7 linked regions of the Canis lupus familiaris genome follow. The protein of the gene in region 7 purifies or fractionates together with the protein of the main gene of each other region. This does not show direct contact. Links are inferred from orthologs where the notes say so. Each region holds a gene or a part of one and is shown on either strand. Other genes may lie near its edges.

What was found.
Region 1: the proteins of MORF4L2 (region 7) and histone-binding protein RBBP7 purify together in Homo sapiens (affinity purification with mass spectrometry, with the first as the bait; 3 studies listed by BioGRID). This does not show direct contact. The link is inferred for Canis lupus familiaris from reciprocal best matches to the Homo sapiens genes MORF4L2 and RBBP7.
Region 2: the proteins of MORF4L2 (region 7) and HDAC1 purify together in Homo sapiens (affinity purification with mass spectrometry; 3 studies listed by BioGRID and IntAct, with this or other methods). This does not show direct contact. The link is inferred for Canis lupus familiaris from reciprocal best matches to the Homo sapiens genes MORF4L2 and HDAC1.
Region 3: the proteins of MORF4L2 (region 7) and SIN3B purify together in Homo sapiens (affinity purification with mass spectrometry; 5 studies listed by BioGRID and IntAct, with this or other methods). This does not show direct contact. The link is inferred for Canis lupus familiaris from reciprocal best matches to the Homo sapiens genes MORF4L2 and SIN3B.
Region 4: the proteins of MORF4L2 (region 7) and ASH1L purify together in Homo sapiens (affinity purification with mass spectrometry; 5 studies listed by BioGRID and IntAct, counting the BioPlex papers as one, with this or other methods). This does not show direct contact. The link is inferred for Canis lupus familiaris from reciprocal best matches to the Homo sapiens genes MORF4L2 and ASH1L.
Region 5: the proteins of MORF4L2 (region 7) and HDAC2 purify together in Homo sapiens (affinity purification with mass spectrometry; 4 studies listed by BioGRID, with this or other methods). This does not show direct contact. The link is inferred for Canis lupus familiaris from reciprocal best matches to the Homo sapiens genes MORF4L2 and HDAC2.
Region 6: the proteins of MORF4L2 (region 7) and KDM5A purify together in Homo sapiens (affinity purification with mass spectrometry; 4 studies listed by BioGRID and IntAct, with this or other methods). This does not show direct contact. The link is inferred for Canis lupus familiaris from reciprocal best matches to the Homo sapiens genes MORF4L2 and KDM5A.

Annotation. Positions count from the first base shown.
Region 1 is NC_049260.1:13,073,963-13,077,884, forward strand, and holds part of histone-binding protein RBBP7, read right to left. Parts: intron 1,661-3,922; coding exon 1,500-1,660; intron 769-1,499; coding exon 642-768; intron 522-641; coding exon 444-521; intron 1-443. UniProt on the Homo sapiens protein: Core histone-binding subunit that may target chromatin remodeling factors, histone acetyltransferases and histone deacetylases to their histone substrates in a manner that is regulated by nucleosomal DNA.
Region 2 is NC_049223.1:68,324,398-68,328,319, forward strand, and holds part of HDAC1 (histone deacetylase 1), read right to left. Parts: intron 2,573-3,922; coding exon 2,460-2,572; intron 1-2,459. UniProt on the Homo sapiens protein: Histone deacetylase that catalyzes the deacetylation of lysine residues on the N-terminal part of the core histones (H2A, H2B, H3 and H4).
Region 3 is NC_049241.1:46,188,632-46,193,159, reverse strand, and holds the start of SIN3B (paired amphipathic helix protein Sin3b), read left to right. Parts: upstream 1-1,566; coding exon 1,567-1,686; intron 1,687-1,930; coding exon 1,931-2,037; intron 2,038-3,309; coding exon 3,310-3,463; intron 3,464-4,528.
Region 4 is NC_049228.1:42,204,456-42,208,377, reverse strand, and holds part of ASH1L (histone-lysine N-methyltransferase ASH1L), read right to left. Parts: intron 3,689-3,922; coding exon 3,440-3,688; intron 2,696-3,439; coding exon 2,609-2,695; intron 1,704-2,608; coding exon 1,613-1,703; intron 682-1,612; coding exon 543-681; intron 437-542; coding exon 264-436; intron 1-263. UniProt on the Homo sapiens protein: Histone methyltransferase specifically trimethylating 'Lys-36' of histone H3 forming H3K36me3. Also monomethylates 'Lys-9' of histone H3 (H3K9me1) in vitro. The physiological significance of the H3K9me1 activity is unclear.
Region 5 is NC_049233.1:70,480,869-70,485,568, reverse strand, and holds the start of HDAC2 (histone deacetylase 2), read left to right. Parts: upstream 1-1,547; 5' UTR 1,548-1,607; coding exon 1,608-1,722; intron 1,723-2,538; exon of another isoform or gene 2,539-2,625; coding exon of another isoform or gene 2,626-2,677; intron 2,678-3,441; exon of another isoform or gene 3,442-3,679; intron 3,680-4,700. UniProt on the Homo sapiens protein: Histone deacetylase that catalyzes the deacetylation of lysine residues on the N-terminal part of the core histones (H2A, H2B, H3 and H4).
Region 6 is NC_049248.1:3,595,959-3,600,675, reverse strand, and holds the start of KDM5A (lysine-specific demethylase 5A), read right to left. Parts: upstream 3,037-4,717; coding exon 2,872-3,036; intron 3-2,871; coding exon 1-2. UniProt on the Homo sapiens protein: Histone demethylase that specifically demethylates 'Lys-4' of histone H3, thereby playing a central role in histone code. Does not demethylate histone H3 'Lys-9', H3 'Lys-27', H3 'Lys-36', H3 'Lys-79' or H4 'Lys-20'.
Region 7 is NC_049260.1:77,634,247-77,638,058, forward strand, and holds the end of MORF4L2 (mortality factor 4-like protein 2), read right to left. Parts: intron 3,774-3,812; 5' UTR 3,669-3,773; intron 2,182-3,668; 5' UTR 2,158-2,181; coding exon 1,291-2,157; 3' UTR 639-1,290; downstream 1-638. UniProt on the Homo sapiens protein: Component of the NuA4 histone acetyltransferase complex which is involved in transcriptional activation of select genes principally by acetylation of nucleosomal histone H4 and H2A.

The sequences.
Region 1 (3,922 bases), about 65 Mb from region 7:
TCTCCCCAGCCCACCCTCCGGGAAGATCACACCCCCCCATACAGGGGAGCTCAGCTAGGAACCTCCATACGCTTATTAATAAGCCCATAACTAATCCAGAAGCTTTTCACTTTTTCAATGAGGTGTATCTTAAACCTAAGCAAATCTCCATTTGAAACCACATACAAGGTATTTTTATTCACTAGAGAATGCACCACACTGGACACCTTAACTAAAGAATCCTTGAATTTCACTTTTTAAAATGATCCTGTTTTGCAAGATTTTTCTACTTCTAATGTAATAATCTCAAATAGCTCCAAGTTACTTCCCACTAGTTAACATATATATACAGAAGAGGAATTTAAAACAAATATCATGCCTGCTATAAAGCCAGTAAGATTTTAAATTTCCCACCATCAAAGAGTTACTAAAAGCCTGACAGACATGAGAAAACTGTCACATACCTGGAAAATTTCATCTTTATGAGATTCAAAGGTATGCAGTTTTAGTTTTAAATTACGCAGATCCCATAAAGCTACAGTCTGAAGAAAAATAAATGAAAAGGAATTCATTTCTGCACTGTACGAAGAATTTTAGAATATCTGATTATAGCACAAGACAACTGGATTCATAAACATCAAATATACAAAAACTTAAAAAACCTTATCCGCAGAGCCAGTTGCGAGAATGAACTCGCTGTAAGGGTTGAAGGACAGGCAGTTGACCTCGGCAGTGTGTGCATCCACCAGGTGGCTTGGCTTGGAGGTGGTGTTGGACCTGGTGTCCCATCTAGAACACAAAGACACAAGGCACACAGCACAAGCAGAAGCCACCCAACCCTCCTCAGTTTCTCATGCCCGTTTCCAGGTCTGCACCACTCCACACCACCCTTACTCTGCCATGCTCACCCCTTCATGGACACCCTAATCACATACAAAGCTGCCAATCTGGACTTCCAGCCACTAAGTGACATATTCTAAACCCACAGAAAATAAATTAGGGCTATCATTTCCAGTTTCAGATTCCTGTCTTATTACCAAATATTTCAAGCAGACACAACTACTGGAGAATAATGTAACAATTTGATACCTACAACCCAACCTTACCATATTTTACTATTTAGCCACATTTGCCTCAGATACTAGTTTCTTTATGAAATAAAACACATTTTAGGTGGCTGAATGCAGCCTGTAGCCATGCCCTGATGCAAACATTTTTAGCCCTCATCTTCAAAGTCACTGTGACCCTAATTTTGACACATACCACTAAGAATGTTTCTTTACATTTGTAGATTTTTTTCAAGTAAAAAAATATGTTCATTCATAGAGCACAGTATCTTCTATGCAAAAAAAAAAAAAAAAAAAAAAAAGCTGTTACACTTGTTGTTTCTTGTATGTCAAGCTAAAGCTTTTAAGGCCAGTATATAACTTAAAAAAAAAATCAAACCATAGGCCACCACAATCACTGTTGATCATTCAGGACACCCATATATCAAGACCCCACTGAACCTTCCACCTTACATCATAAGCTTCTGATCATCAGCAACAGATCCAAACAATGACTCGTGCAGCAGATGCCAGGCCACATCCTCTACAACAGCCGAGTGGCCAGTAAAGATGGCTTTAGCATCCACAATCTTGCCTTCCTTTGGTCCTGCATTTATATCCCACAGACAGACAGTCTAAAGAAGGAAAAAACAAACAATCTTCATTAAAAAATTATATAACTAGGGGTGCCTGGCTGGCTCAGTCTGAAGAGTGAATCTTGATCTCGAGGTGTGAGTTCGAGCCCCATGCTGGGTGTAGAGATCACTTAAACTTAAAAATTATCTAACTATATATATAAAGGCAGAAATAAACACAAGGGAGAAGAAATATAAACAAAGTGAAGCTTCAGAAACACAAGAGTATGCTTATAGCTTTCATCACCTGAGATGCAGAGGGCAAGGAAAAGGAAAGTATATGATAACGGGGACAGAGAAACCAGGCACGATGGCAGGCAATAGACAATGAGGTAGAGTTTCTACTGACATACTTTCAATCAAGTATCTAAAATTCATCTAGAGGGGATCCCTGGGTGGCTCAGCGGTTTTGCACCTGCCTTTGGCCCAGGGCGTGATCCTGGAGTCCTGGGATCGAGTCCCATATCAGGCTCCCAGCATGGAGCCTGCTTCTCCTTCTGCCTGTGTCTCTGCCTCTCTTTCTCTGACTCTCATGAATACATAAATAAAATCTTTTAAAATTCATCTCGATTACACAATGCAACACTAAGAGTCCAATATTCAGTATTTACTGAACAGATACTCCTGTCCTAAAAATTCACACAGGGTTGGGAGACTGGAAATTAAGGTGTCTGCTTCTCCCTCTCCCTCCCCTCCCGCTGCTTGTGCTCATGAAGGCTCTGTAAAATGGATGAATAAAATCTTTAAAGGCGGGGGCGGCTCAGTGGTTGAGAATCTGCCTTTGGCTAGGGTTGTGGTCCCGGATGGAATCTGGCATCAGGTTCCGCACAGGGATGCTGCTTCTTCCTCTGCCTATGTCTCTGTCACTCTCTGTCTCTCATGAATAAATTACATAAGATCTTAAAAAAAGAAAAATCTTTGGATAATTCTCTCGCCTCACAGCAGAAACCACTATTTGTAGTGGAACATTAGGAAGTCGAACATGTGAAAAATCCAGAAACCCCAACTAGGCTACTTTGAGAGGCCAAAGCTTAAGGCCTGCTGACAGATCCCCACAGCACAGACCTCAATACTTCAGCAAAATCCAAGGAAAGGCCATGGGCCTTTCCCAGGCCTCAAAGATCACAGATCAGCAGGCTCTGGGATCTGATTCTTCAAATGAAAACCATTACAAAGTTAACAGGAAAGTTTTTATGAAAAAATATTACAAGCTATGGGACAATGATTATCATCCAAACGGTTTAAAAGGTAATTCCACTAAGACATATTTGCCCCAACAATTCCACTGACTGGTATGGGTTTCATCTCTTTGAAAATCACTTTCTTATCTGAAAGACTTTCTGTGACAAAGCTATTTCCCAGTAATAGCTATGTACTCAGTAACAAAAAAAATAGTTTTACAGAATACACCCTTAGTCTTTGTTGATATACACTCAGACAATTTACAAGCACTGAAGAAAAAGGAACATATATAGAGCTCTTGACATCCTTTCCTGCTCATTTCAGAAGGATCCTGGGAAGATGAGCAAGAAGCCTGGCACATGCAGAGCCCTTAGAAAACGTCAGCTATTATAACTAGCAAATCCCAGCGTGGTGTCTTCAAAAGGCACTAGTAATAAAGTTACTGAGCATAATCCATTCCGTTTCAGAGACTCTACCACACCCACTTTGAGGGAAGTGGAGGAAAGCTTCCTTTTGGAGAACTAAGGGAGACCCTCACTTCTCAGCCTCCCTCGTGGCTAGGACATGATAGTGGCTACATCAGTCTGACCAGGATTTTTTTAAATTAATTAATTTGACAGAGATTGAGAGATTGAGAGAGATATACTGCATACAGCAAGGAGAATAGCAGGCAGACAGAGAGAGAGAGAAGCAGAGAGCCTGATGCAGGGCTTGATCCTAGGACCCCGGGATCATGACCTAAGCTGAAGGCAGTTGCTTAACCAACTGAGCCACCCAGGTGCCCCTGACCAGGACTTTAAATTGTGAACATTAAGAGGGAAATCTGTTCTCATGTTTGCCAAGTGTGTGGGGGGGTACAAAGTGGAGAGTAACACCCACCCGCTTCTCCTCTCTGTTCTGGGCCATTTTCTAGCCAGCAAAGCAATTCTGTGAGCTACCCTACCCAACACCCTTCTGATAAATTCCTTTTCTGTTTGCATCAGCCGGAGTTGGTTTTGGTTGCTTGCAGCTAAAGAATCTTGACTGAACCAATTACCTACTTTCAATATTTAAAAAAGCTTAACAGAAATTGTAACCAGT
Region 2 (3,922 bases), on a different chromosome or scaffold from region 7:
AAATGTTCATTTATTTTTCCTTACTTGAAGATAGGATCCATTTTTTAATACTTCAGTATCACTCATGGAGTTTAATATAGTTCCTGGAATATGACAAGTATTCAACAAAAATATACTGAATGAGGGGATCCCTGGGTGGCGCAGTGGTTTAGCGCCTGCCTTTGGCCCAGAGCGCGATCCTGGAGACCCGGGATCGAGTCCCACGTCGGGCTCCCGGTGCATGGAGCCTGCTTCTCCCTCTGCCTGTGTCTCTGCCTCTCTCTCTCTCTCTCTCTCTGTGTGTGACTATCATAAATATATATATATACTGAATGAAAGAGAGAAAGAGGGCTTGAGGTAACTTTTGAAGATGAGTAAAATATGACTGGGCAGAGTAATCCTCCCAGTCAGGATGGGGTAGAAAGAGGCAGAATCTGATCTGAGGGTTCTGAGAGGGGAGTGACAGAAAAGGAGGCAAGCTAGAGCCAGATTAGCAAGGTATAGATGTATAAGAGGGAACTCTGGAAGGTCTCGGCGCTCGCTATTCCACATTCAGGTATCCTCTTTTTATCTAAATGCTAGTCTACTCCCTAGAGTCCCTCAAAACCTCTGTCTGCTACCTTTTATGTTTTTCATTCTCAGATGCCTTTCACACCTGACAAAGGTCTCTGGTCCCACATCTGCCTGCTCCTCTGTCTACCTTCCCTCCTTGCTTCCCCAGCTGCCTCCAGTGGCTCTAGGGACATAACAGGGCCATCTGAGACAGAAGACTCATCTCCTCTCAGTCTCTGGAATGGTGAGGAAGGATACTGCTGTTGCTAGGTTACTTAAGCTGCCAGCACAGACTTTAACCACAGACTCTTAGGCTCTAACCATAAGGCAACATAGGCTCCCAGCCCTTCTTTATTTTCTCATTTGGACCTTTGCAACAGCCTAACTGGCTTCCCTACTAAAATGCATGCCTGGAGGCTCCTGACTGGCTCAGTTGGTGGAACATGTGACTCTTGATCTCGAGGCTGAGAGTTTTCACCCCATACCGGGCAGATTACTTAGCACCTGGGTGGCTCAGTCGGTTTAAGCATCCAACTCTTGGTTTCAGCTCAAGTCATAGTCTCACGGTTGCAGGATCAAGCCCCATGTGTGGCTCTGCACTCAATGCGGTCTGCTTCAAATTCTCTCTCCCTTTCCCTCCCACCCACTAACTCTATTTTCTAAAATTTAATTCATTTTTTTAATGTATTTGACAGAGAGAGAAAGCACAAGTAGGCACAGAGGGAGAAGCAGGAAGCCTCATGTGGGGCTCGATCCCAGAATCCTGAGATCATGACCTGAGCCGAAGGCAGACACTTAACCGACTGAGCCACCCAGCTGCACCCCCCCAATAAATAAATAAAATATTTTAAGAATAAATAAAAATAAAATGCATACCTGTTTTATCTCTCTTTGATTTAAAATCCATTACTTGGGGATGCCTGGCTGGCTCAGTCAGTAGAGCATGCAACTCACCATCTTGGGGTTGAAGTTTCAGCCCCACACTGGGTGTAGAGATTACTTTAAAAAAAAAAAATCTTTGGAGCACCTGGGTGGCATAATCAATTAAGTGTCCAACTCTCAGGTTCAGCTCAGAATACGATCTCAAGGTCTTGAGATCAGGCCCCACATTACAGAATAATATGGATCCCTAACTTCTCTTTAAAAACTGATGGTGGGGGCACCACCAGTGGAGGCATCCCTCTCCATATGCTTGTGCTCTCTCTCTCAAATAAATACAATCTTTAAAAAATAAATAAATAAAATAAAAACCGGTAGGTGGGCAAAAATCAGACGGAACTGAGTCAAGCAGTTTAGAGTCTATGCTCTCTAGTAATTAGGGACTTGTCTAGCTCAACATAGTCCCAATTGCTCTTTTTTTAGGCATTGGATTTTTTTTTTTAAATCCTGGCCCATCAGAGTTGCTTATTACATAGTACAGCATATCCAATCCTTGCTGACCTCTCCAACTGTAGGTCCCTTTACTCACACCCGTGAGACCTTTACACTATAGCACTACCTAGAAACTACTCATAGTTTCCCCAAACACACCATACTGTTCTTACCTCTTTGCCTTTTTGTTTACACTCTTCCCTTGGTCTAGAATGTCAGTCCCCTCCTGAACTCCTGGCTAAATTCTATTCAATATTTAAAATTCTGCTCAGATAGTACCTCCAGGAAACATTCCAAGGCTTCCCTTCCTCCTTCACTTTTCATTATCTCTGTATCTTGTACATTATTTAATTGTACGCCCTCAGACTGTAGTACAATTTATTTGTGTACCTGTCAGTCTCCAGCACTGGAGCGAACCCTTTAAAAACAGAAATCTCTTTCAATGTCTGCCACATAACAGCCCATTCGACACATCTGATGAATGAGTAGTTGAGAAAATGAGATAACATAACTAGAGCTGATGGGGTTAGGGAGTGGTGGGGGTCCCAGTAACTCACATAGATTTCCATTTTTCGGTAGAGACCATAGTTAAGTAGCAAATTGTGAGTCATACGGATTCGGTGAGGCTTCATTGGGTGGCCTTGTCCATAATAGTAATTTCCAACATCCCCTGAAGAAAAAAGAGTGACAGTTTCAGTGACACAGTTAGACATACACTCCCAGGAGAATCCAGGAATTTTTATAACCATCTCCTAATCATATTCTTTCTCTTTCGTTCTAGTCCCCAAGATTCTCACCCACCTTGAGGAAGAGTTAACTCCAAAATAAAAATAAAACAAACAAACAAAAAAAAACAAAATAAAAATAAAACAAAACAAAACAGGAACAACAAACAAAAAAAGCAGGGGACTCTGGTGAGTCCAGCACTTAAAGATATAAGCCTAGCCGATGGGATCCCTGGGTGGCACAGCGGTTTAGCGCCTGACTTTGGCCCAGGGCGCGATCCTGGAGACCCGGGATCGAGTCCCACGTCGGGCTCCCGGTGCATGGAGCCTGCTTCTCCCTCTGCCTGTGTCTCTGCCTCTCTCTCTCACTGTGTGCCTATCATAAATAAATAAAATTTAAAAAATTAAAAAAAAAAATAAGCCTAGCCGACAGGCACTACACAGTGTAAAAACGGTTCATTCCAAAGCTACTGGAGAATAGCAGGCAACAAGGTGATTCACCTCACCGTATCTGCAAAGAATTCACTCCCACAACAGAAAAATAACCATTACTATTCAGAATTATTATAAGTCACAGTTCACCTCTTTCATATTAAAACACTTTATGGGGTTAAAGCACATTTACATTTACTTTCTTAATGGATCCTCAGGGGCAGCCCTGGTGGCGTAGCGGTTTGGCGCAGCCTGCAGCCTGGGGTGTGATCCTGGAGACCCAGGATCGAGTCCCACATCAGGCTCCCTGCACGGAGCCTGCTTCTCCCTCTGCCTGTGTCTTTGCCTCTCTCTCTCTGTGTCTATGAATAAATAAATAAAATCTTAAAAAAAAATTAATGGATCCTCACAAGAACCTGGTAAAACAGGAGTATTATTCCTATTGTATAGATAAGAAAACTAAACTCTTATCATCTCTAGCTTCCTCTATAGCAATAGACTTCTAATTGGTTCCTCTGTCTTCAACTCAAAACTATCTGCCACACTGACCAGTTATTTTTCTAACACACAGCTTTAATAACACCATTCCCCTGCTCAAAAACCCCTAATGACTCCCCATCTTCTACAGGATAAAGAACAACTTCACTAGCCTGGCATTCAACTCACAACACTCCCTCTCCTGCTCTCTCCCTCTCCCAGCTCTCTACTCTAAACAGAAAAGGCAAACTATGGCCCTTGGGCCAAATACAACTAGCTGCCTGTTTTTTTGTAAATAAAATTTTATTGGAACACAGCCAAGCCCATTAGCTTAAATATTGTCTATGGCTGCTTTCACATTATAATAGCAGAGTTGAGTAAACAGT
Region 3 (4,528 bases), on a different chromosome or scaffold from region 7:
GGCACTGACAGAGGTTCCACACAGGTAGAGAGGGTGGGTGGGAAATTCTGCAAAAGGAGGTTCGTAAGGGCCAGGTTCTTACTAATGTAGGAAAGACTTTAGGGTTTGAAGCCAACAGCTACAAAAGGATTCTTGAGACATCTTTGGTGCAAAAAGGTGACTTTATTATTATTATTTTTTAGAGATTTTAATTATTTACTCATGAAAGACACAGAGAGAGGGAGAGGCTGAGACACAGACAGAGGGAGGGGCAGGCTCCATGCAGGGAGCCGGATGTGGGACTCTATCTCGAGTCTCCAGGATCACGCCCTAGACCAAAGGTGGCGCTAAACCGCTGAGCCACCCGGGATACCCAAAAGGTGACTTTATTAAACCATGGAGACAGACCTGTGGGCAGAAAGAGCTGCCCCAGGGTTATGAGGAATGGCTGATTATATACTTTCAGATTGGGAGGGGGTTAGGGACATCGTAAGTCTCTATGGAATGTTTGAAGCAAGGTTTCCAGGACCTTGAGGGGGCTAGCTATTGTTGGGAAGAGTAATCTGAGTCATGAGACCCTTCAGAGATATATTGCTGGGTATTATGCTTGGGGGATAATTACCAACATATATCTTGGTGCAGGCAGAGATAAAGGAAGTTTCCAAAAGAATTTTTATATGTTCAAGTAGACTTACAGGATCCTGGGAGTTGGGCTAAGATTGCTTTTTGCCTGTTAGGAAAAAGTATTACATCAACATGGAGGCAGTTGAGTCCCTAGAGGAAGGTCACTCGTCCTGTTTCAAGGACTTCTCGATGGGCTGTAAGTATTAAACACATCTAATAATTTTTCTTTTGTCTTTGTTTCCCACATCATTACGGCCTTCAATCCTGCACATAGGTGCTTAGAGTCCATCTCACAAGAAACAAAGAAGACCCTGGAGGTTTGGAAGCAGCTGTGGAATGATCCAGTGCTTTACAGCACCAGGGCTAGGAGAACTGGTTAAGAGACTCCTGAACTGTTCCACTGGGGAGATGATGGGATCAGGAACCATCAAGAACCAGTTAGCAAAAATGCACTTCACAGGGCCCCTGTGGTGCTGTGTGCCCCTGGCCCATCCTCACATCAACCTCATAAAGCAGGGGTCTACAAATATTTTTTAGCAAATATAACAGGGTCTGCACATCTTAGGGTCTATCACGGCTACTCACCTTGCTGTGGAAGCGCAAGAGTAGCCACCGATGATAGGTACACGAGTGGGTGTGCCTGTAAATTTTATTTTACAGAAATTTCACGTGTCACCAAATAGCCTTCTCTTTTGAAATTTTTCCAACTTTAAGAAATGTGAAGACCACGATGAGTTCGCTAACTGGAACCGGACAAAAAAGCAAACGGCTGGGTTTGCTCAGCCGCACTATATAAGGCGTTGGTTAGCAGTTCAATTTGGGGAGTAAAGTCCGGGAGCAAGTCCTTCCAGGGGCCACGCCCCCGCGACGTCATCGAGGCCGCGCCCCCTCCGGGGCGGAGCCTGCGCATGCGCGGCCGGCCCTCGGGCGGGGGCGGGGCGGGCCGCGGCTCCGACTTCCAACATGGCGCACGCTGGCGGCGGCGGCAGCGGCGGCGGCGGCGGCGGCCCCGCGGGCCGGGGGCTGAGCGGCGCCCGCTGGGGTCGCTCGGGCTCCGCGGGCCACGAGAAGCTGCCGGTGCACGTGAGTGCTGCCCCCGCCGTCCCTCGGGAGCCCCGTCGCCCGGCCCCCGCGGGCCGATGCCCCTCGCCCGGGCCCCGCCCGGCCCCGCCTCGGCCTCCACTCCGCACGGCCCCCGACCCCAGCCCCCTGACCCCTAACCTTGACTCCCCGGAGGCTCGGCCCGCCCCCCTCCCCGCCAGGGACCCCGGTCCTCCGTCCGCTCCTCCGCCGACCCCCGCCCACCGGGACCCTCCCCTCCCCGCAGGTGGAGGACGCCCTCACCTACCTGGACCAGGTGAAGATCCGCTTCGGCAGCGACCCCGCCACCTACAACGGCTTCCTGGAGATTATGAAGGAGTTCAAAAGCCAGAGGTACCCGCGGGACCCCTTCCCACCCCGGGGGGGCCGCCCTGGGCCGCGATCCGGCCGAGCGGGGTGCGAACCCCCATCCCGGCCCCCTCTCCGCCCCAGTCGGGTGACCTTGCGCAGGTCGTGGAACCTCTCAAGAGCCTGGGTTCCTTCCAAAAGACGGGAGCGGAGAGTACCCCCCTGTGGAGCTGTTGTGGGGATTCCTGGAAGGAGAGCGGGGATGGGGTGAGGAGACAGCAAGAGAGAAGTCCGCAAGCGCAGCAGGAGTCGGGTCCTGTCTTTACTCAAAAGGATGTTTAAAATGAATTTTGTCCATCAAGGATTTGTTTAATTAATTTAAAAAAAAATTTTAAGCACTACGTTAAAATTATTGGTCTTGGTTATTGCATGTTTTGGCACCCTCTCCCCCTTCAATCTTGTCTCCAAGGTGAGTGCCTCACCCTCGGCAACCCCCAGTCCCAGGCTTGTTGGAAAGTAATGCGCATAAAATGCTTTGTAAGGGGTCTGGCACAGAAAAAGGATTGAAAACACACCAAGCTGATTTCTGTAGGCGCACAGGAGGGTTAGAGCTAGATAGGGGACCTCAAGATCATGCCATCCATTAACCGGAGGCTTACTTTGGCTTAGAGTGGGCCAGAGGCTTGCCCAGACTAGCCTTAGGGGCAGTCAGGACTAGAACTTGGGCACTCTGACTCTTAGATTCTCAGCGGTCCCATCACCACCGTGCTGCCTCCCCCTCCCTGAGGAAATCGGGCAGGGCTGGCCTGATTTCCTTCCAGGAGAGACCAGCTAAAGCTTTGAGGGAGCCCCACTGCAGCCATGGGGACGACCCCCTGGCGTTGTGCAACCCATGCTTGCAGGGCCTTTGGTATTTATGCTTTGCCATCACTTGCTGGGATCCACACCTGTGTCATGGTTTATCACATTGCTTAGAGGGCTTTGGCCTCCTGCCACTTCTTGGAGTCCCGGACTTTCACTTGGCTCTCCTGACATTTTCAGAACAGAACGCGTGTGCTTGGAGTGTTTGGGGTAGCTGTGCCATGCAGATATCCTGTGGTTCTCCATAGGAGGGTACAGGGAGCCCAAGGCTGGCTGCTGTGGAAGTAGATGACACATAACACATTGGCTGAATCACACCGGTCACATTGCAGGGTGCTTTGTTGTCCTTCGAGAAGCTCATTATTAGGTGGCCCTGTCAAGTGAGTTGGGAGTAGATTTTGCTTTCAGTGTGCTCCCCAAGACACTCCTGCCCACTCTCGTTCTCTTTTGTTCTAGCATCGATACGCCTGGAGTCATCCGACGCGTGTCACAGCTCTTCCATGAACACCCTGACCTCATTGTTGGATTCAACGCTTTCCTTCCCCTCGGGTACAGAATAGACATTCCCAAGAATGGCAAGTTAAACATACAGTCGCCTCTATCCAGCCAGGTATGCCGCTATGGTGGTCTGAGTGAGTTGGCCCTGACATGGTGCACCCTGGTACTCAGGTACCCAGGTCAGGCAGCCCATCTTGTGTATCATCGTGTTGCTGGAAAGCCAGCGAAGATCCAGTCTTTTTCTAGACACGCTGCTCGCTTCTAGCACAGGTCAAAATAGATCAAAATACCTATCCAGCCAGCCTCTTTATCCCAAATCGATCCGTTTGGAGGATTCAGATAAGAGTGGATGTGGTTGTTTGTGTCAGGGGTATTCTCTTAGCAGTTTTATGTCCTGTCAAAATAACCACCCCCTGTCACCAGGCTCTTATCCTGAGGCGTTCCCGTGACATGCCAGGTAGGCCACACTTGTACTTCGGTATGTGGTTGCTCTGATCATCCTAGGTGCCCGCCGCAAAATAAAGTAGTTGAGATGTGTGTGTGAATAGCCGTTTTGTTGTTGCTGTGCTGCATTTAATTGCCAGCAGGGTCGGTGGCTCAGCTTAGGCTTGTGGCTTTGGCTCTTTATGTCTCAGGTGGTGGCTCGCTGCCTCCTATATCCCTGTAGTCCCTTCTTGCCTGAGCCCACCAGACCCTCTGAGCAAACAAAAACCTTTGTGAGCTTTACTCTTATAAATTAGCCATTGCTTTTCCTCCACCTTGGCCCTGTTGCCATAAAGCCGTGCTACAGGGGGTGCTGTCTAGTGCATCTGGAGATGTTTTGTAGATTCCTGACTCCACCCCCTAGGCCCTTACCCCGTGGCGACAGCCAAAAGTGTCACCAGACATTGCCAGATGACTCCTGGGAGCCATATCACCCCCATCGAGAACCACTGGTCTGCGTGAACCAGCTCTTTCAATCTCTCTGCCTCTGCTCCAGGGTTTTGGGTTTTAGAAGGGATATAAAAAAAAATCTACCACGGGAAGCGTTTTGTTGTTTCTGCCTCTGATGAAGGAGATTGCAGTTTTGTATCAATTCAAGAGTCAGATTTGGAAGGAGAACAGCCAGAGGCCATGTGACAGTGACATCCCTCTCTGAGAGGAACTCGCATGTAAATCTTGCCTTCTCTCTATGCAA
Region 4 (3,922 bases), on a different chromosome or scaffold from region 7:
GGATTTTGGAGTGGGTGGGTGGAAAAACATACATTGTGATGATACTAATAGAATGCCAAGTACACATTATTAAGAAATGCTAACTAAATTTAAAAAAAGAGGGAGGATTAACATTTACTGAGTACCAAGTGCTAGGTAAAAGAAGCTTCACAGCTGGTCTGGGACAATCTTTGATCAGACAGGAACAGTAAGAACAGAGTGGTAATTGCAGAGCAAGGATTAGGGGACAGGAGGTCATTTCTTCAGCAGCTCAGGTCACTTACCTTTACAGTATGTATAAAGGTCTAGTACACAGCAGGTCCCCACCACAGCCTCCAAGGGAATGATCTCATAGAGTGGTACCCTAAATAGCTCATTGTGATAGAAGCGGCGTGACGGAGAGTGGTGGGTCTCGTGGGGGCGGAAGTAGTGGTGACCAAAGGCAAACCGTTCCTCTCTAAGGAAGAAAGGGAGAGGTTTAGTAAACTGGCAAGATCCTAGGCGATATTCAGCTCTGTGCTGGAAGGCAGAGCTGGAAGAAGAGAGAGGACCTCAACACATACTTTTCATTCTTCCAGAGCTTCTCAATGCGGAAGATGTCAAGTTTATCTCGGTTAATGTGTGATAACAGTCGGTAGGACTGGCGGACTGGGTGGCCATCAGGGGTGCGCCGGCTATCTCGCATCAGGTACACACAGTCACCTAGGAAGGCACAGGACAAATTAAATGATGCCTGTGAACTGTTAGATGCCCACTGGTCCGACCCAAGGTCTACACAGAAGGGCTGGAAATCTAAAACAACAGATACAGAGAGCTACAACTGGGAGTCTAATGGCGATGAACATCAATTCTAGACTATGAGAATGGCACGAGGGAGGTCTCCCATCTCTTAGAATCCTATATGTTTTTCTCAGTCCTAAAATTAGCTTTATGATCTCCTGGTTTCTCCTAATTTTTATTTGGTGGAGGAGAAATGTATAAAAGCCTAAGGACTGAAGTACATACAAACCTATACCGTCAACCTTTGAACAACATGGGTTTGAGCTGCATGGGTCAAATTATACTCAGACTTTTGATGAATTACGGTAGATATAATGTAAAAAAACCTTCCTTACGTTTTTTTTTTAACATTTTCTTTTTTCTAGCTTACTCTATTGTAAGCATGCAGTATATAAATACATGTAGCACACAGAATATGTGTTAATTGGCTATTTATATGTTATCAGTAAGTCTCTGGTCAACGGTAGGCTATTAGTTAGGTTTCGGAGGAGTCAAAAGTCATATTTTTTTTTTTTTTTTAAGATTTTATTTATTTATTCATGAGACAGAGAGAGAGACAGAGAGGGAGAGACACAGGCAGAGGGAGAAGCAGGCTCCATGAAGGAAGCCCGATGCGGGACTTGATCCCAGGACTCTAGGATCACGCCCTGAGCCAAAGGCAGATGCTCAACCACTGAGCTACCCAGGCATCCCCATATGTGGATTTCTGACCATGGGGAGGGGGTTGGTGGCTCCTATACCCTGCATTGTCCAAGGGTCAACTGAATTCAAGGTCATGTGGTGACAATAACTACTATGCAGAGAGCAGATACTCCTTGCACTCAGAAAGGTAAAGTCAGCTTTGTGTACGCACCTTGACGAAGCAACAGGTCATCTCGGAGCAAACAGATGAAGTAGACACAGCCGGGCTGGGCATAGTGGGGCCGAGGGATCATGGGTACCTCCTGGTAAGAACGGAAAGCTAACAGATAAGGGCTGCAGTGACTATATCCAGCCTATTGATTTCCATTCAAGAGGAAAAGACCTCAAACCCAGAATTTGCAAACAACTTAACACTTACTGTTTAGTCATTTCAACACAACACACATGCGAACAAAGATGAAAGCAACTGAAGTTGAACTGGGAGTGTGAAGGCAGAGAACAAACCTGACAGGCCAAGTATCCCAAACTAGCTGCATAAAGCACTAACTATGTGGCTGCTCTTATACCCCCTTGGGAGCATGATAATGTGTGAAGGGGACTGATTGTCATAATGACTCAGAAAAGTTACCAGCGTTCAGTGCCCAAGGGCCAGGGAAGTCAGACATTCCCTCACAGCACAGAAATGTCCGCTCAAAATAACAACACCGCTGTTAAGAACTACCGCCTAAAACACTTCCCTTCATAGAAAAGACCTGCCCGAGATCACACGTATAAACATAGCAGAACCAGGACAAAAACTCACTTAGTAACTTGGGCAAGTTACCCCATCCACCATCTGTCCTGGAAGGGTTTAAGACTAACCTGTGTTGACTCGGAATCATGCTCCTTTCACGTCAACATTGCTTAACACAAGAGATATTTACAGTACTCGAGTTCTGGACTTCACAAGTACTTCCCTCATGGAAAATTGACAGTGTTTATATAGTACCATTCCTTCCACAGGTTTCTAAGTATTTTATTTCCCCTTTGACCACACACTTGAGAAAAGAAAGGGCAGAATTATTACCCTAGTGTTAAATATAAGAAACTAAGGTCCAGGTTGAGTAACTTATCAAAGTAAATTCAGTGCATCAGGAGCTGGGCAGGTAAGATAGCATGTGCTAAACCTCCTACGTGTAGATCAGAGTATCAGCAGAGGGCAGCTTACTCTGTCCACAGGCCTCGGGTCACACTGCTCACACAGGTAATGCTCCACGTCTGAGTTCACCCCCATACAGTCACAGTGCTGCCATACCTGTGGGGAAAACAGTAGTTGAGGGAGGACTTGGACTTATTGAGAGAAGTGCTGGGAGCTAAAAATTTAAAAAAAAAAAAAAAAAAAAAAAAAAAAGAATTGCAGCAGGACAGGATAAAGTCAAACAGGAACTAAGGGATAAGTCGGGGAGTGAGAAATAGGAGAGAAACAGTAGGAACCTGTCTGAACACATGTATATTGTTTGGTTCATAATATATACATCTGGGAAAATGAAGTGAGGAGCTGGACAGAGAAGAAGAGGATGAATGAATGTAGCACTAAGGAGCACGCACCGGTGCCCAGGCTGTTTGGGGGGGGCCATAGCCACATGATGCTTCTCTGGGCAGCTGCCTAACTGCAGCACCCCCCCTACCCCCCCACCCAACCAGACTGCTGGCGGGCCCTACCCCCCTAGGCTCCACTTCCCATTTCAGTAAGGTGGTGGGCTCAGACATTCTTCCATCAGGAGCTCCTATCCTGCACAAAAGCATCCTCCTCGATCCAGACTATGTGAGATGTGAACAATGGGAAGGGGGCAGAGAGAACAAGATGTGGAAAAGGAAGGGAAGGATCAAATTAAAGAGGTATAAAATGGGAGAAAGGCAATCTGGTGAATAGTGAGAGATGGGAGACACCAAGGCAGAGCTAAAGTTCCTGTACAGCAGGCAAATCAAGCCCAGAGGCCTTCTGCCAGGTGGCCACCATGCCCCCAAGGAGCAGGCCTGTGCCCTGCTCAGGGCTCACCATGCACTTGTCACACTGGATCATGAGGCCCTCATCCTTGTGGAGGCCACAGACACAGCGGATCACATCGTCATCCTTCTCATGCACGTTCTCCTTCTCAGAGACAGATGTTTCGCTGCTGTCGGCCTCACTTGCTGTCTCTCCCACAATCTCATCAATCTGGGCTGATGCCTCATGCCTGGCGTTGTAGTAGGTCTTCCGTAGACGGCAAACATCTCTCCCAATTGGGGATTTACGCCCGTAGTACTTCTGAAGAAAGCAGAACATAGAAATGTTCGGTCTTCTCAACATGGCTTAAAAATGTACCTGAAGAGGGATGTCTGGCCACCAGCTTAGTTTGTGGCACTGCAACTCTGGATCTCAGGGTGGTGAGTTTGAGCCCCATGCTAGGGGCAGGGCTTCCAACACACACACACACACACACACACACACACACACACACACACACACACACACAGACCCTGAGGAGGCAATAGGATTTTC
Region 5 (4,700 bases), on a different chromosome or scaffold from region 7:
AAAAACGTATGCTCAGGCTCTTCCCACATGTCGGAGGTGAGCTACTGTACATGCAAAGAATGATCATTATTATTACTTGTATTGTAATAATCCCTTTTTTTAAAAGAATATTTTATTTATTTATTCATGAGAGACACAGAGAGGCAGAGACACAGACAGAGGGAGAAGCAGGCTCCATGCAGGGAGCCTGATGCGGGACTCGATCCCGGGACTCCAAGATCACGCCCTGGGCCAAAGGCAGGCGCCAAACCACTGAGCCACCCAGGGATCCCTGTAATAATCCCTTATATTCACACAGTTCTTTAATGTTTAAAAATGATTCAAAAAAAAATGATTCCATGTTTTCTTATTCGAGGGACTCAATATTCACATGGGGAATTATTCAAGTAATACTGCCTCATTTTACAGATAAGGCAAATTAGACCAAAAAATGTTTAAGCGACTCGCCCCATGTCGCGAGCATAGAGATGTAATTACATTCAAAACAGACATAGTCCTTAGTCTTGTTAAACTCTATTCTGATGAGAAGTTCAGAGAAGTTCAGAGAAGTTCAGAGAAGTCGTGAGCAACCTCCGCATGGTATGGAGCCAGGGCGCTAGGAGGCCCCAGGACAGACGATGGGAAGGGCAGAGAGGCAGGCCCCAGCCCGGGAGGTAGGTGAAGTCAGGGAGATTTTCTTGAGGACCATAAAGTCCCATTTCAGCCTTCACTCTGTTGGTCCTGAGAATAGAGGTTTCTACTTAGAATCTACCAAACTGCTTTGGGACTTGAATAAAACTGTGAACGTCAGTATCTTGTAATTAACCTTGAGCCCATGTTTCCCACCCTGCTGCCCCCCTACCAGCCGCGTGGGTTGCATGGAGCGCTTGTTCAAAATACAGACTTGGCAGGAGGGGTGGGGAAGGGATTACTTTGGAGTTTTCTAGAAACTTTTTGGGGTGAGATCCAGGAAAATTACTGCTTTAAGTATAAACACCTTGGGGATTCTGAAGTCAAATAGCAAAATAAAGAAGACATTTTTGGTAGTGGCTCTAAATGGCTTCTGCTCCAATAAGGCTTTTTTTTTTTTTTGGATGAGTACCTGGAAAAGTGTATTTGGGGTATTTGGGAAGGGATTACTTTGGAGTTTTCTAGAAACCTTTTGGGGTGAGATCCAGGAAAATTACTGCTTTAAATATAAACACCTTGGGGATTCTGAAGCCAAAGAGCAAAATAAAGAAGACATTTTTGGTAGTGGCTCTAAATAGCTCCTGCTCCAATAAGGCTTTTTTTTTTTTTTTTTTTTTGGATGGGTACCTGGAAGAGTGTGTTTTGGGGGTATTTGGGTACTTGGGGGGGGGACTGTGAAAGATACAGTTGGGATGAGAGCGCTACTTTGCAGATTGTCAGTGCCCCCAGGCCTCACGTGCAAGGTGTTGGCTTAGACTAAGTGCATGCTTGATGCATGTTTGTGGATTCGCTCATCGGGCATCAGTATTTGCAACTTCCATGAGTTTTGCAAGCGCTGTCTTTGGGGTTCCTGCTCCAACCTTCGGGCGCCCGGCCAGGAGCAGCTGCAGCAGCTGCAGCAGCTGCACGAGGGCGTGCAGGTCCGGGAGCCAGACGGAATGCACCGGGACCCGGGTCCTGCAGCCGGCAGGCCCGGGTCCCCCCATCCGCGCTCCGGCCCACAGAGGGGGCGGCGACCGCGCCTGCGCCCCGCGCTCGCTGGGGTCTCGGCAGGTCTGTGTCGTGCACGGGACGGGCTCCGTGCAAATGCTGCCAGTGCACAGGCTGAGGGCTGTGCCGTGCGCCCCAGTGCACATGCGTGCCCTCGACACCCCTTCAAACCCAGGAAGTACGGCCTGCAGCCGACTGGCCCTATTAGGTCCCCCTATGGGGTCGGGGCCCCGGAGCAACTAGCAAAAAGGAAAAGGGAAGAGAGAACGAGCGCAGGGGCAGGCGCGGCGGGCCGGGCGGCCGAGGGGGCCCGAGGGGTGCAGGCGGGGCTCCCCCCCCCCCCGGCGGCGGCGGCACGTGGTCGGCCCGCGCGGGAGCTCCGCGCCGTGGGGGAGGGGAGCGCGTGGGCCGGCGCCGAGGGGCCCGGCGGCCGCTGCAGCCCGGCGGCCGCCACTGCGCAGGCTCCGGCCGGGCGCAACCACCGTGCGCGGGCGGGGGGGGGGGCGGCCCGCGGCGCCGCGCTCCTCCGTCGACCGGCCCGGCCTGCCGCGTCTGCCTCCGCCGCTGCCTCCGCCGCTGCCCGGCCGCGTCGCCGGTCGACCGCAGGCCCCCCGCGTCCGGGCCGAGGGCCGCTCCCCGCCCGGCCGCCCCCGCCCGGCCGCCCCCCCCCCCGCGAGGCCGCCGTGGACGCGCCCGCCGCCCCTCGGCCCCCGGAGGTGGTTTGGCCGCCCCCGCCCCTCCCCCTCCCCAGTGTCGCGCGTCGGCGCCGCTGCCTCCCCCGCTCGGCTCCGCTCCGGCCCGCTCGGCCCGCTCGGCCCGCTCCCGCCCCGCGGCCTCCGCGCCCAGCTCCGCCCGCAGCCGCCCCCGCCCCCGCCCGCCGCGGCGCTAGTGTCCCCGCCGACCGGGCGGCCCGGCGGCAGCAGCAGCAGGCGGAGCGGCCCGAGCCCGAGGCGGCGGCGGGAGCCCATGGCGTACAGTCAGGGAGGCGGCAAGAAGAAAGTGTGCTACTACTACGACGGTGAGCGCCGGGGCGGGGGAGCGGAGGGACGGGAGGGACGGGGCCGGGAGGGACGGGGACCGCGGAGGGCAGGGGAGGGGAGCGGAGGGACGGGGCCGGGGACCGCGGAGGGGAGGGGAGGAACGGGACGGGGCCGGGGACGCCCCGGGACGGCCCGCCCGCCCGCCCGCCCGCCAGGCCTCCCCCTGCCGACGCCCCCTTCCCGCCCGCCCGGCCTCCCCCCTGCGCGCCCCCCCTGCCTCCCCCTGCCGCCGCCTCCTTCCCGCCCGCCCGGCCTCCCCGCCTCCCCCCCCCCTGGCCTCCCCCCTGCGTCCTCTCTGCCTCCCCCCCCCGGCCTCCCCCCTGCCCGCCGCGGCCGTGTGGGCCCCGCTCCGGCCCGACCCCTCCCCCCGGGTCAGGGCAGCTCCCCCGGCCCGGGCTCCGCACAAAGCCCCGCGGCCCCGAGGGCCCCGCCCCTCCCTCCTCCCCTCCCGGGCGGGGGCCGCCGCCGCGCTCGGCTCCGCGCTCCGCCCCCAGCGTCGGCCGGGCCCCCCGCCCCGGTCCCCGCCCCGGGTCGGGCTGCAGGGCGGCCCCGGGCCCCCGCTCCCCGCTCCCCGGCTCCCGCGCCCCGGCCCCGTCCCGCTCCTTTGTCCGCCGCCGGCCCCTTCGGGCGCCCCTCGCTCCGACTGGGAGGCGTGAGGCCGCCCTGGCTCGGCGGGCGGGGCGGGGCGGGGCGGGGGCGCAGGTGCCCCCCGCGGGCCCGCCCAGGCGCGGTCACCACCCACCTCTTTGTTGCTCTTTGTTCGGTCAGGAAATAACACCCGGGCGTCGGGCTTGCGAAAGCCGCTGCCGGGCGCTGGGAGTTTCGGGTGGGAAAAGTTCGAGGAGGGCCGGGTGAGCAGGTGGGCAGGTGGGCAGGTGAGCCGTGAGCAGGTGGTGGACAGGTGAGCCGGGGTGCGGGTGAGCAGATGGTGGACAGGTGAGCCGGCGGACAGGTGAGCCGGTGGGCAGGTGACCAATGGGCAGGTGAGCAGGCTGACAGGTGAGCCAGTGGGCAGGTGACCAATGGGCAAGTGAACCGGTGGGCAGGTGACCAGTGAGCAGGCGAGCAGGCAGACAGGTGAGCCAGTGGAAAGGTGAGCCAGGGGGCAGCTGACCGATGAGCAGGTAGGCAGGTGAGCCTGGGGGGGCAGGTGACCAGTGAGCAGGCAGACAGGTGAGCCGGTGGGCAGGTGACCAAGGGGCAGGTGAACCGGTGGGCAGGTGACCGTGAGCAGGTGAGCTGGTGGGCAGGTGACCAGTGGGCAGGTAAGCTGGTGGGCAGGTGGCCAGTGAGCGGGTGAGCAGGTGAGCCTGTGAGCAGGTGAGCAGGTGACCGACCGGTGAGCAGGTGACAGGTGAGCAGGTGGGCTCCAGCCGTGCGGCCCGCGGCGAAGTCGGCTGCCCCGCCGTGTGGAAGCAGAGATGCCGCGGCCCGGCGACCTGCAAGCCCCGCGGTCCGTCCGAGGCCCCTGCGCGGGGAGGGGGCGCACCTTCCAGGCCCAGGTCACCAGACGTGCGATTCTACCTTGAAAGTGGCCGGGTCGCGTCAGGTCGGTCCGCAAGGCTGAATCTCGACGCCCGATTATGTAAAATGACCACCTGCGGCACTTATGGAAAAACTTAAAAACGATACATAAGAAACCTAGATAGTTTGGTAGTTGACGGCCGGTGCCCAACAGTTCACAGCTGCGTTTTAAAAACCGCTTCTGAGAGCGCTGCAGACACGTGTAGTCCAAGTCGACATCGTGCCGCCCTGGAGGAGCAAGGACAGGAATATCTTTTAGTGTTAATAGGAATTCTGTTTCTTAGAGATCATTCTTTAAGGATTCATTCACATTTCGAGGCAGCGGTAAAACCCAAGCCCCGCATTCCCTGATGAAATTGGAAAGTTAATAACCATGGGTATGGGTTCATTTTTAAAATGATGCTAGTAGTTCCTAAGGTTTAGAGACTTGTGCTTGTCAGGGGTTGGGTAAAGGAGGGAGGCTTAAAAAGTTGGGGA
Region 6 (4,717 bases), on a different chromosome or scaffold from region 7:
TCCTAAATAAAAATACATATATATTTTTAAACATATTGATGTGTAAGAATGCATTATTCATTCCCTCAAATTTAAGGGATGAATAGCCATAAATGATGACAAGTCAACTTTAAGTCTTTTTCATTGTAGAAACAGGAAAAGTAATACTTTTTAGATGTTTTTAATATTACTTCTCTCCAATCACTTCTCTCTCATACTGTCTTATTAAAAGTATTTTATCTATAAATCCTCTTCAAATTTCAGGAGTCCCATCCTTTATAACCCACAATTATGCTTTCCCCAATTAATCAAGTGGAATGCAGTGAACTTGTGTATCACAACAGGGTCTAATAAACCTCCCAAGTTTACTAAATGAAAAATAAAACAGAATTTGAAAGAAACTAAAAAGGGTAAAACTGAAGATTAAAAGGTGATTTTTAAAGTACTTATATAATTGGTTAATATCTTTTTGTTTTCATGGGTAATGTGACACAGCACTTTACAGTCTGTGTTACATAAATGTTTTGTTCAAAGCCTGGTTTCTCAACACCCAAATATTTTTTTAAAAAGTAAGCAAATTCACAGAATAAGGGCAATTTCCAGATTGGAGTTATGGTATAACTGAAATGGGCTGGCACAATTCAAGTAGGATTCTAGAAAACATATTTTGATTTGGACTAAATAATAGTAAATCTACTTAAAAATGTGAGAAGTAGTCAAAAAAATTTTCCTTACCTTAGAAACCAAAGAACATCAATTTTGAAATTAAATTCTGCTTGTAAACAAGATTTATTTTTAATGATAATAAGACATACAAAGAGAAGGTATATTATTTCCATCTTTTTTTAGTAATGAACTATTTTTTTTGTACTAAAGGAATCCTGAACACAATTTCTAACTCATAAAGGCAACAGAGTAGATGAAAATATGGTTTAGGACCTGGGTGGCGCAGCGCCTGCCTTTGGCCCAGGGCGCGATCCTGGAGACCCAGGATCGAATCCCACATCGGGCTCCCGGTGCATGGAGCCTGCTTCTCCCTCTGCCTGTGTCTCTGCCTCTCTCTCTCTCTCTCTCTCTGTATGACTATCATAAATAAAAAAAAAAAAAAAAAAAAAAAAAAAAAAAAAATATATGGTTTAGGAAAAACTTCAGAGCTTAAAGTTTTGCCAGTATTAGGTAATTTTGATAGTTCAACAGTTAAATGAAGCTTTTAATTAAATGTCAGAAGTTAAATGATGCTTTTGGCAATGCATATGCCATCATTCGTCATAGAAATCAGCTTTTAATCTTTCATCTGTAATTAACGTTTATAAATCTTAATCAAATTCATTAAGCATAAACAGGTGTAGTAGCATGCCTGGGTTTTAGAATAAAACAGATTGATCTAGGTTCAAAATCTACTTTGCCACACACCCAAGATCATTCATTTGATAAGTTATATAACTTATTCAGAGTTGTCTTATCTGTAAAATGAGATGTTATTTACCCACTAGGGCTTTAAAGAATATTAAGTGAAATAATCTGTAGGTGCTAAATTAGCTTCTCCTCCTCCCTCCTAGCTTCAGCTCTTTTTATTCTCTATGGTGCACACCACTGTGGTAGTTTGTGGTGAGAGCAGACGCTTTCTAAAATGCAACACGAAAACAGTACTTCATCCTTTATTCTTATAACTAATAGACAAAACATAAAGCAAGGTGTCCCTTTAAGAAGCACCGAAGGCAATAGTTCACACACTTTAATGTGCATTAAGCATCATCTGAGAGTACTTACTAAAAAAGCACATTCTAGAACTTCCACATCCAGAAATCTATTCTAGTCTGAAAAAGGGGCCTGGAGATCTGCATTTTAACAAGCAGCTGGTTGAGCCTTGTGCAGGTGGACCAGGAACAGCATTTGAAAAACGTTGGTCTCATGGGTAAAGAAAAAAAATCTTTTGACCTTGAGCAAATCACTCAACCTCTTGGGGCACTAACGCCCCCAAAGGAGTAGTATCTGCTTTCCTTAAAGATTGAGGATTATAAAAAACCTACAGGCAAACAGTTACTTGCAATAATTGCAATTCATAAATCTTTGAACCTTGGTTCCTTATGTCAAAAGAGTTCCTCTTAAACCACCAAATTCTAAAATAAATGCTGCACCTTCTCGTCCCCTGGGAAGACTTTTTCATTGCGGCAACACAGTCTAGGGTTCTTGTTTGGTAATCCCATTCTAGGGGACGACTAGATCTCAGATTACCGTTTAAGAAATCTTTCCTTTGAAATGAGGCTTGCAAATATTTACTAAATCAACCATTAGTAGGACTCGGATTAGAAAAACAAAAAGTCAGTGTAAAGGCAGTTTTTACTCTAGCATCCTAAGGAGAAAGCACAGTACACGAGGGTACAACACGTCCTAACACTTCGAGCACCTCCTCGGCCAGCGCAAGGCCCGAAGTCTTTTGTTACCCTTGCCTACAATCAAAGGGGAATAGAAGTACCAGCTCCCAAGTTCTGGGCAGGAAGGCCCGTGGGACACCGCTCTGGCGCTCAGACAGGCCTACCACAGAAGCCTGCAAAAGAAACCAAGAACACCCAGAAACCTAGCTTCTAATTGTTGAGAAACGAGAGAGTAAATATGAAAAGGAAGAAGGACCGGGAAAGTAAAGCTAGGGACGCCTGGGTGGCTCAGCGGTTGAGCATCTGCCTCTGGCCCAGGGCGTGATCCCGGAGTCCCAGGATCCAGCCCCGCATCGGGCTCCCTGCGTGGAGCCTGCTTCTGCTTCTCCCTCTGCCTCTCTCTCTCTCTCTTTCTGTGTGTGTGTGTGTATCTCTCATAAACAAATAAAATCTTTTTAAAAAAGAAAAGAAAGTAAACCTAAAGCACTCCCCCTTCCGTCTCCCCGGACTCCGGTACCTTGGGCGGTCGGATTTTGCAGATGCCGGTTTTCTCTGCCAGAGGCCGGATGCGGCCGATGAAGCTGAGCGGGTCCGTGAACTCCTCCCAGCTGGGCTCAAAGACTGGGCACTCCGGCGGCGGCACAAACTCGGCCGCGTAGCCCCCCGGCCCCACGCCGGCCATGGCAACACCCGGGGGGCCCTCCGACGGGCGGGGGGGAGAACAGGTGGAGAAAGGCTGGTCGAAGGCCACCGAACCCTCTCACGTCTCCTGACAGGGGCCGAAGCTCATCGTCTCGGACCAGAACCGCTCCACACAGGAACCCAACCCCACAGTCGCTTCCTCTTCTCGTTTGTTATTGTTTCCTTCGGGGTTTTTCGTCTCTGGGTCAGGACTTTTCCGGAAGTTCAGGTACCGTCAAATCCCTCCGCCGCCGCCACCACAGAAACAGAATCCCTCCGCCGCGACGCGCTGCCTCGGCGCAGGGCCTTCCCCTTCCTGGCTTTGCCCGCAACCGGGGAGGGTTCCTGGTCCGCGGGTGTGCGCGGGTCGGCGCCGTTCCACAGCTTCGGGCGGCCCGGCCCCAAGGGCCCGCGGGCTCTCTTTCAGGGAAGACAACGCTGAGGGCGAAGCCTCCGAGGCTCGGGGCCGCGCTCTTCCGGCGCGGAGGAATGTGTAAAGCCCCAGAGGGCAGAGGTTCTGCTTCCGGGAGGAGGGCTCTGTTCCCTTTTGTGTATGAACCACACGAAAACAAGCTCAGCCAGCCCTGGGCGGTGCTGTCCCCCGGTCCCGGTATCGCGGCTGGTTTTAACCTTCGCATCTGCCTTTTTCTACGTAACTAGCTTTTTCGGCATCTCTTTCTTCAGTCTTGTGTATCCCTTCCGAACCCTCTCCCTCGGCCGCTTTCTAGCTGCCTCGTCTCCATGACGACAGGTTCGGGTCCTATCTGTCCCCCAAATCCTGCCGGCCGGCCTCAGCCGCGGCCCAGGAATTGTTTTTTGTGCACGTGGAAGCCACCGCTCCTGACCTTGCTGTTCCAGCATTGACCCCGAGTCATCTCAACAGCAAGCACTGTACTCTGCTGACTCGCTCCCTAAACCCTTCTCGGTACGCTGTAAAAGCTGTGGCAACTGTCTGATCCTGCTTGTCAAAAATTTTTAAGCCAAGGTACTTCTCCCGTTACTTCAAATTGTGGGCAATAACGTAGAAAGAACTAAAGAAGAAACCGTGAAAAGGTAGTTCCAGCATTAGATATTTGGAAGGAAGGCTTCTTTCCAGGGCTTTTTCTCGGGCTCCCTGTGCAACAGCTACCCCAGGACCTATTGCCAACTGTGGTTGATGACTCCCAAAACTGTATTTCCAGCCAAGATTTTTCTTTTGCATTACAAACCAGTGCATCTAGGGCCGCCTGGATGGCTCAATCAGTTGAACAAGTGCCTTTGGCTGAGGTCATGACCCTAGCCAGGCTCCCGATCAGATCAGCGGGTAACCTGCCACTCCCTCTATAACTCGCCCTTGTGCACTCCCCTCTCTCTGTCAAATAAATACATAAAATCTTAAAAAACAAACAGTACATCTAGCTACCTACTAGATAAGCCCACTTAGTTAATTAAAGTACCCACAGTTGGGGGATCCCTGGGTGGTGCAGCGGTTTGGCGCCTGCCTTTGGCCCAGGGCGCGATCCTGGAGACCCGGGATCGAGTCCCACGTCGGGTTCCCTGCGTGGAGCCTGCTTCTCCCTCTGCCTATGTCTCTGCCTCTCTCTCTCTCTCTCTCTCTCTCTCTCTCTCTCTGTGACTATCATAAATAAATAAAATTTTTTAAAAAGTACGCACAGTTATTACAGTGTTCCCAGTTTTCATGA
Region 7 (3,812 bases):
ATACAGGACTCATTTCCAGATTTGTTCTTACTGTATTTTCTAAAATCTCTCCAGTAACCATGATAATTTATGTTTTTACTATAGAAGTAAAAAAACACTGTCATGAAACAAAACTTGGTTTGGTAAATTTCCTTATAGAATGGATTTATAATCATAGACATCCATCAACCCTCCTCCACAAATCCCCTACTCTAGATTCCCACTATTATGTCTAAGGGATTATAAAAACAGAACATGAACTCAATGTTGGAACTAGGGAAAGCGGCCATCCTTGGTCCAAAATCTGTTAAGTATTTCTGAAGGTGGCTGCCCATATTTTCTTTTGTGGTCAAGAGCAAAGCTCTGCGTAAGTGTAAGGAACTATTATAGTATCCACTAAATATTCTGTTATGCCAGCCCAATTCACAGGGGCAAGGAGTTCTTATAAGCAGCACTAGAAAGCAGTCACTCTGAGAAGCCACAATGAGGGAAGAGGAGGGGAACTGGCAATGACAGCATACTCCTGGCTGCCACACCCAACAGAAAAAGGAATTCTTTTACTGGGAGTCAGAACTCTCTGATACCACCTAGATCTTTCCCGAGCCCGCGGACTAGTCAGCCTCAATAATATTAAAGGCATGCTGCAAAATACTTGCTTTGAAATTTAGAAACAAATTTTATTTAAGATCTGAAATACAATTCCTAAAATATCAACTTCTCCAGAAAACCGTGGCTACACAATAATGCATTGCCTCTATCATGTTAGAACGTGCATTAGACTCAAATACAAAAACCATGAAACAAATCACCATCCTTCAACAATTTGAGCAAAGATAGAATGCCTAAGGAACAACATAGATGGACTTGCAGAGGATGGGCTGTTTTACTTCAAGCACCATAAAAAAAAGAGCACAAATGCATGGGTTTTCAGGTATATACATTAAGTTGAACCTTTGGCACTAGGAATCAGGGCATTTTGTCACATAGCATTAACACATATTAGAAAATTGTGTAGTGTCAAAGGGATAGAACCACCAGCATTCAAGCAATGTTGTCAACTAGGCAATAAAATGTTCTACTGAATGTTTCTTCTTCGTCTAATTACTGCGTACACTGGTAGCAACTTTGAAATGAGAAAAGGAGCTTGTACTCCTTTCATTTTCTGTTTAAAAACACAACAGAAAACAAACTGAAACATAAGCCCTGTTATACATTAACAATTTTAAAGAACATCAATTATACAAGAAAAAGACTAAGAACGAAAAGAGTGTTTACAGATACCAGACATAACAGTGAGTGGTCAGTAGACCCTCACAGGGCTTTGCGGTGGTACTCAGCCGAAGCCACTTTGTAATCACTGGCAGTAAACAGAGATGTAGCATTCTTTGCCAGATATTTTAGGAAATCATGCAAATAGCCCAACAATAATGCAAGGCTCTTCTCATCAAGGGGCGTATACGCCAACATTGCTCCAATTCTTACAAATAATCTCAGTAGGTGTGGGGCTCCATAAACCTGGGACATTGGTGCATCAGGGTGAGCCAAGAGAATTTCAGCATACTGGGGCCTCTCAAATTTGTAGAGCAGCTGAGTGCCCAACATCACATTGAAATATTCTTTTATTCCTGCCACAACTTCATTAACTGCATACTCCTTATTATCAACATTTCCCTGCGACTTCTTACAATTTGCATACTCTTCCAGAATAGCATCTACATTTTTCTTAGCAGGGAGTTGAAACAGCTGCTTCTGCCTGGTAACTAAGTCCCAGTCCTCAACAAGCCATGGTTTTAATTCTTCAGGAATCTTCACTTTAACTTCCATTCTATTCTTAAATGCCTCCTCACTTTCAACAGTGGGGTCTGCCCGGGCCCTTTTCTTCCGAGGTGGCTGGGGTGCTTCACTGGTACTGCCACCATCACCGTTTCCAGGTGTCTTCTGTTTGTTCTTTCTGGTCTTCCTCACTGATCCTGAAGGGGGGTTCTCTGCAGAGCGACCCCCCCATCTGCCTGGGAGAGCTGGTTCCAGATTCTTCTGCTGTGGACCAGCAGTCTTCTTTCCTGAGGAGGCCCCTCTCATCTTACTTCTCTGCATATTACTTCTAGTTGGTTTTTTGAAGTTGTCTTCTTCTGCAGATTGTTGTCCACGAGTTTGAGAACCCTGCTTTCTGGAACTCATTCAACCCTGTTTTTATTCCAACCACTGTAATATATAAAATATTTTACTTCGTTGTTTTCTATCGTGACCTTTAACACATATTACTTCATAAAGGCCTACCACAGTAAAACACAAGCTATTTTCTTGGAATTTAGATTTCAAATCCTAGTTCAGGATCATTTGTAAGTGACTGACTTACTACTTCCACCCTCTTTTTGATTTTCACTACCAACCACTACTCACCCCATCCAATCGCTCATCAGACTTGCCCATAAGTTAGTTTTTTGGTGCCACTCCAAAGACAGAAATATAATTTTAGAAAAAAAATAAATTAAATGGAAAAGAAACTACAAAAGGCAGTGGAATTGAAATTAAAACTGTCTGAACAGGATAAATGACAAGATAAAAGAACAAAGAAAGATTAGTTGACTGGAGGCAAAATGAGTAGCAGTAAATGTTTTTGTAGGAGTCCAAGTAATCCTGAACTAGGGTGATGACAGAGTCAAGGGAAACTGAATACAGAAATTGGTAAATGAAGAAGAGGGAGCAGTCAAAGGTGGCTTTGTACAAATGCATCTATTCAATTAGTTATCATACATTATTGCCTATCTGCTTTGGGACAGATACTATGCTAGGTCCTAGGGTTTAAATCTAAGGTGACAATTAAAAAAACGAGGTTAGGGATCCCTGGGTGGCGCAGCGGTTTGGCGCCTGCCCTTGGCCCAGGGCGCGATCCTGGAGACCCGGGATCGAATCCCACATCGGGCTCCCTGCATGGAGCCTGCTTCTCCCTCTGCCTGTGTCTCTGCCTCTCTCTCTCTCTCTGTGTGACTATCATGAATAAATAAATAAAATCTTAAAAAAAAAAAAAAAAACGAGGTTAGTACAATGACGGTTATAGGCACAGAGTATTTTGGAGCAAACAAGAAATGGTACATGACACCACTGTCAGTATTAGCTTGTTGGAGAAGGTGATAAATCAGAGAGAAGTCAGTGATGACTCCAGGTTTTGAGAATGGGTGATTAGGTCATTAGTACTATCACCAAATAAGACTGCATCTAGAGGAGGAGGAAGTGGATTAGAGAGGAAAGAACTTCAGTACTGGATCTACTACGTGTGAGATGTAAAGTTAGATATTTAACTTTAAAGCTCAGGTGAAGGTCAGAGCCTGAAATGGAGATCTGAGGGTAATCATCACACAGCTACTACTGGAAGCTAGGAAAGCCATCAAAGTCATTCATGGACAGAAGAGGAAGAAAAACTGAACCAAAGTATGAAATTCTGGAAAAACCTAAAAGAATGGTATTTAAGGGATTAGCAGAGACCAAAAACAACACAAAAATGGTCAGAGCAGCCATAGAAGAATTAGGAGAATGTTATTTTGGAAGCCAAATAAGTCAAAAGAGTTTTAAGAAAGGAAAGGGATAATGTACAGTATAAAATGCAGCAGAGGGAACTAGTAAGATAAAGATGAAAAATAGGGGGCTATGATTCTTATAGTGTGACACAGGAAGCAATTTTTTTGACTTACATAATCCTCTTCCTTCTTTCCCTTCCAAGTACTCCTAGTGTTTTCCCAGATGGAACCTCCCAAATCTCCTGGGATGGTCTGGAAGGATGAGGTGGAAGACACAACCTAGAAAGGAAAACAGGTATCTGCAATGAAGATAAACTT